2 linked regions of the Saccharomyces cerevisiae S288C genome follow. Changing the gene in region 1 together with any one later gene gives a genetic interaction. Each region holds a gene or a part of one and is shown in the gene's direction. Other genes may lie near its edges.

What was found.
Region 2: mutations in YOR097C (region 1) and PUG1 together harm fitness more than expected from each alone (negative genetic interaction), as found in Saccharomyces cerevisiae (one large-scale study listed by BioGRID).

The regions. Positions count from the first base shown.
Region 1 is NC_001147.6:506,139-509,077, reverse strand, and holds YOR097C (uncharacterized protein), read left to right. Parts: upstream 1-1,572; coding exon 1,573-2,100; downstream 2,101-2,939. Other genes in the region: FG-nucleoporin NUP1, read left to right, coding at 1-1,130; 40S ribosomal protein eS7 RPS7A, read right to left, coding at 2,311-2,739.
Region 2 is NC_001137.3:557,345-560,973, forward strand, and holds PUG1 (Pug1p), read left to right. Parts: upstream 1-2,109; coding exon 2,110-3,021; downstream 3,022-3,629. Other genes in the region: TOG1 (Tog1p), read right to left, coding at 1-1,336. UniProt on the Saccharomyces cerevisiae protein: Involved in inducible protoporphyrin IX influx and heme efflux.

The DNA.
Region 1 (2,939 bases):
AAAGACCTACACCGCCATCTTTCACCTTTGGCGGTTCCACAACAAATAATACAACAACCACTAGCACAAAACCATCTTTTAGTTTTGGGGCTCCCGAGTCGATGAAGTCGACAGCAAGTACAGCGGCAGCAAATACGGAGAAGCTATCAAATGGCTTTTCCTTTACAAAGTTCAATCACAATAAAGAAAAGTCAAACTCTCCAACTTCTTTCTTCGATGGTTCTGCTTCCTCAACGCCGATTCCTGTCTTGGGTAAGCCAACAGACGCTACTGGTAATACAACATCTAAATCTGCATTTTCATTCGGTACTGCTAACACCAATGGTACCAATGCCTCAGCAAACTCCACATCATTCTCGTTTAACGCCCCTGCTACTGGTAACGGCACAACTACTACTTCCAATACCTCAGGAACCAATATAGCGGGTACATTTAACGTAGGAAAACCGGATCAAAGTATCGCTAGTGGCAATACGAATGGAGCGGGCTCGGCATTTGGCTTTTCGAGCTCAGGAACAGCAGCAACTGGTGCAGCTTCTAATCAATCTTCATTTAATTTTGGAAACAATGGTGCAGGGGGTCTCAATCCTTTTACATCAGCAACTTCGTCAACTAATGCTAATGCTGGTTTATTCAATAAACCTCCTTCCACGAATGCACAAAATGTCAATGTTCCCTCTGCTTTTAATTTTACGGGAAATAATTCAACGCCTGGTGGCGGCTCTGTATTTAATATGAACGGCAACACTAATGCTAATACGGTGTTTGCCGGCTCTAATAACCAACCACATCAATCGCAAACCCCATCTTTCAATACAAACAGCTCATTCACGCCATCAACAGTTCCTAATATTAATTTTAGCGGATTGAATGGCGGAATTACTAATACCGCGACCAATGCATTAAGGCCAAGTGATATATTTGGTGCGAATGCTGCCTCTGGTTCCAATTCAAACGTAACAAATCCATCATCCATTTTTGGGGGGGCAGGTGGTGTGCCGACAACTTCTTTTGGGCAGCCGCAGTCAGCCCCTAATCAGATGGGGATGGGAACAAATAATGGCATGAGCATGGGCGGTGGTGTTATGGCGAACAGAAAGATTGCAAGAATGAGGCACTCTAAAAGGTAAATATCGGTTATGTAATTAGGTATTGTGTTGCTTTTCTGAAGGATATATATTCCTATATTCCTTCAACTTATACACTGCATATGAAACTTCTTGAGAAGTTTTAAATAATTGGTCTTTTTTTTAATCGGGTACAGGCGAGATAATGGATACCTGTTCTAGGGTAGGCAAATTTGGAGGCAAGAGCCCAAAATTGTTTTGTTTTGACCTGGTTTCTCTCAGTTAACATATTATGAATAGCATCTTACAAATAATTTACGAGCGAAACTTTCGATCTGCAAAGCGCTCCTTTTTTCTTTCCGAAAAAATACAGTAAAATAAGGTCTAGTACACAGCCTGATCTACAATTAGTGTTCTTTTCTGTTTACTTCGATCAGCTGTTTAGCTTTGCCACTTTTCTAGTAGCTCCACACGCTGTGAAAGTAACGAGACATAGAAGTCACGGATGGATTTGAAAAGGGATTGGTTACGATGGAAAATTACAATAGGTAGTGGGCCTGGCAGTATTGTGCTGGATTTCCCATCATTTTTGGTAGGGTGCGTATTCACAACAATGATGGGGCCAATATTACAGAAGCTTATAGGTAAACTTTTGGTAGGTTTAATAACGGTATGCAAATTCTTAGTTATTATTGGAAGCATTGTCTTCGTTATCGGAGTTGCATCAAAGAAATACACATATGACGATTTCAAAGTAAGTATAAAAAGATCAGGAGAGCCAGGGGAATCACATGATATGAGGACTGAACCAAAAAGAACTGCGAAAACGGCAACTGTTCCAATGGAGAAAGACGAGGGCGTAGGTTCTTATAATTATTTTGAAATACCTATAACGAAAGAAACATCTACAATTCCTTATATTAATTGTGATGGCACGAGCTCACTTAGAAAGCCACCCAACGGTCCATCAAGCGTAGGCTTATCTAACTCCAACAGATACGAAAATTTTATAAACATGGCACGACATAAATAAATGTTTGTATGGCAACCTGTCGATTTAGCGGCAATCATACGGCGGTGAAAAAGTATGTAACTATGCATAGTTGTCATAAAATTTATTTGATTCAGATCTTTGCAAAAAGTATTTTTTTTTGGAATTTGGAGTTTTTATTATCTTATTGTGCTATAAAATAAACAAAGTTGTTACTAACTAATAATAAAGATTTAGATATTATTATATTAACTAATGAGTTTCACTTGGAATTTCGAAAACAATTTGCTTACCAGTCAATTTGTTGTAAACAGCTTGGAAAGATTCCAATTTGTAGTCGATTTGTTGGACATCCTTTGAGTCTAACAAAACCTTTTGGATCTTGTTACCACCAACCAAATATCTAACTCTCTTACCAACGATTTCAGTTGGGAAGACTAAGTCTTCCAAGATCTTGTCATGAACAGCAGTCAAGGTTCTGGATCTTGGTCTCTTTTGGACTTGTCTAGATGTTCTAGATGGCTTTGGCAAGATTCTTCTTTCAGCCAAGAAGATGACATGACGGTCTTGGAATTTCTTTTCCAATTCACGGGTCAACTTAGTTTGAACCTTGTGGAAACCAGCCAAAGATGGGACTGGAACAAAAATGGCCAAAGCCTTCTTACCACCAGCAACGTCGATCTATAAAAGAAGGAAAACAAAAAAGGAAAATGTTAGTAAGTTTGATTAGGTGATATTTTGAATATTTGAAGAGTTGACGCCAGTAACTTGTAAATGATATATGCATGGACGACACCGCTTAGAACTTGGACCGATTGTAATTAACTATCAGAACCTTACTGCGTATAGCATGATCTAGTAAATCGTTCCCTTCTTCTTAA
Region 2 (3,629 bases), on another chromosome or scaffold:
TTAATAGAATATAGCCGAAAGAGATACAAATATCAAACTTACTTGGGTCGAGCTCCACCAAGTTTATTAAAGTAAAACAGTCCATCGAATCATCTACCCCTAATCCAACCACATCCTTGGGAAAGAGACACGAAGTCATTTCATGTGGTATCAATGGCTGCTTACCGGTGACCAATGAATACCATCTATCCCACCAGTAGCAGTCCCACCATAACTTACGATATTCTTCGGCAGTGTCCTCATCCTGACCAATATAATATTCCCAACGATTCAAACCAGCATCCAAACTTCGCCTGGACATCGTGGAAATAATTCTTCCCAGCACAAAAGGATCGTCTATCCAATATCTGTGTTTCATCAACGAGACTAAGCCCTTTAAAATAGTCAAGTCGTACATTGTCGAAAATAGGGATCTTTCAAAATATTCAAGACAGAGACAAAAAATCAACTCATCTTGCTCAAGAAAATATTTCAAAGGAAGTAATTTTTTGGAACTTTTACGATCCAACGCCTTGTGGTGCTGTTCCATCAATTGTACTCCGTACATAAACCAGTCTGTTGGTTTATTGAATTTGATTGTTTGGTTAATGTTTGTATTTCCTTTGATTTCATTCGATATATTTGACATAATGTGTTGAATAAGTACGTCGTTCCCACATGAAAGTCCGTTTAGCTTTGAATAATACTCTAAAGGAGATATCGAAGTTACTTTAGGACCAGCATGGCTAGCAGAGCTAGCGTCAAGAAACTTCAAAAATAAATAGATAGTTTCTCTCGTCTCCCTATCATTCGAACATGAAATCAATTTTTTAGTTATCCAGCTAATACCCGTAGAGGCAAAATATAGCAACGGTGAATAGACCCCAAAGTACATACTGACATTTTGTGCAGTATTGCTTTCAAAAGCGTTGGAGAACCTATTCAAAGATTTTGACTGTTTCCCGATAATTTCTGTTTCTATCGATTTCAGGCCACCATACGAGCTAATTTCCTTACTGTCCAGATTGAGGTAAAGCTGAGGTTGTATTTTTTCAAGCTCAGTGCAAATGTTTGCTAGGCCTTTCTGTAAAGAGGCCGGTGCGCTTGGAGGTAACTGTGCCTTCAATTTTGCTATGCTGCACTTAGCATTATCCAAATCATTACTGAGACTACCAGTATAATTGAAAAAAGCCTCAATCGGTTCACGAAATTGATTTCTATACGTACATTTTGATTGAGACCCAATACACCCAAAACATGGCTTCTTACTGTTGCACTTAATCTTTTTCCTATGGCATCTATCACAGGCCTTGGTTACCCTAGATTTTTGTTTGGCTAATCCTCTTTTTGCTGCCATCTCAATAAAATATAAAAAGCTAAAAAGCTTAAAATTTAAACAACAATAATGTCGTTAACCTAATGCGCTTATTCGATGAGATTTGGATTTGCTTCTAGCTTATAGAAAGGAAGAAAGTTTTTACTGTTCAAAGCACACATCAAAAAAATTATTACCCAGCCTTTCAAACAAACAAAGTACTCCAAAATAGTTATTTTTGAATACTAGCAAACCAACCAATCACTTTTTTTGTTGGATTATCAAATAAGCCTAATCAGGTCTTTCATGCAGCGTTGAATCCAGGTTACTTCACCGCACCTTAAGTTAAGATCAGGACAGTATCGGCTGTTCCTGAGAAACCAGCCATATTCAAGTTTCGGTATCCTAACCGTTGATATTGTCCTTATTTGTCGACCTTCAAATATTGTGGCTGCCATGTATATGAGCGCCTCGATCTATTATGACTAAGCCATGCGATTGTCGTGTAATGGTATCGCGCATACTGAAGGTTTCAGCCCTGTTTTGATGTGCCGCGGCAAAGTGGTTTTTCTCCATACAGGATGAAGTGTTTCTTTCCCCATGCCGCGGCAAGCTCATCCTAAATAAATCTCAACTTTTCAACTAAATGTACTTCAATTGAACAAATGCCAAGACCTCAAATGAATCAGTATAAAAGCACCTACCGAATCAATTGTGGGATGTATAGTCTCTTGCCTCAAAATGTCCAGGATAGTAGGTTAATAGTGTCCAATTACATAGCTACTTAATCTTTTATTGTCCATCAACGTTCCAAAATGTCCACAACTGATTCGGGGTTCGTACTTTACCACTATACGCCAAGTAAAGCGGCTGCAATCGTATTTGTCGTACTCTTCATTATAATGACAGTCATTTTTGCCGTTCAAACTTTATATGCTGCGAGAAAATCTTCTAAGGCATTGAAAAATAATCCATTTGAGTCATCTGATGATAAGGTCGATAGTCTTGAGGATGCTGAATACAAGCAACTAAAAATCACACCCACAGTTTTTGCGTTTATACCTTTCTTCACTGGCTGCATCATGGAAGCTGTCGGGTATATCGGGAGGGCTCTATCCAGTTCCAATCCTGAAAGAACGACCCCATATATTATCCAATCTGTTCTTTTATTAGTCGCTCCAGCACTAATAGCTGCGACGATTTATATGATTTTTGGAAGGTTATTACATGTTATGAGGTGCCAATCTTTAATTTTGATTTCTGCACGCTTTGGTACGACTTTCTTTGTTGTGGGAGATGTGTTTAGTTTCTTTTTACAAGCTGCAGGTGGCGGACTAATGTCTAAGGCAGGATCAACGAAGACTGGTTCAGGACTCATAACTGCGGGTCTTTTTGTACAGGTAATTTTTTTTGGATTTTTCATTATCAATGAGATAAGATTCACAGTAAATGTTAAAAGGAGATGCTTATTTTACGAAGATATTTCCAGAAAGTGGATCTTTGTGAATGCTACCCTATTATTAAGCAGTATGTTGATCCTACTACGTTCAATTGTCCGAATAGTTGAATTTATTCAGGGATTCAATGGCTATATAATCTCTCATGAGTATTTCATATATGTCTTCGATGCTGTACCTATGTTATTGGTAATAATAGCATTTAGTGTGGGATCCTTTTTCGGCAACGTATTCGATGTTATAAAGGAGTGTCAAACGTTAAGTAATTAGATAATATATATCAAATTTTGATTTCTATGTAGTGCAGCCAATCAATTTTAACTTCATTTAGAATAAAAATCTTTCCTCTTCTGCTTTGAAGCCATTAAAACGAAAGATCTAGGCGGTACTATTTCTCCATTCTCAGCCGTACAATCATGCACCGAAAAGGAAGGCAATGTATTGAATTTTTCGCCGAGAACAAAATATTTGTAAACACTCGTTAGATTCCGCATTGTTAAGTGGCATCACAAACACAATCAAGATTAAGAGAAAAGTAGCTCGTTGAGAAAGATTCTTGTACATATCGGGATACTTCTGAAGTCTAATAAAACATTCAAATAAAGACAGACTGGATAAAAGATTCCTGAACGTCAAAACTTATATCTTCTTGTCCCTTGGAATGTCTCTCTGCTCTTATATTGTTGCTGTTGAGTGGTCTCATGACAATAAAGTATGTCACTGAATTGAAGACTACTGAACCATGGCAGCTAATACAATCACGCCCATCCAGAAAAGTGTCGTGTGGCGAAAATTTTTGTTCACGTTGAACAGAGGGTACTGATTTCAAAGTGCTCTTAAGTCGTAATGACGGCCCTAATAATGATTTCCAGACCCTT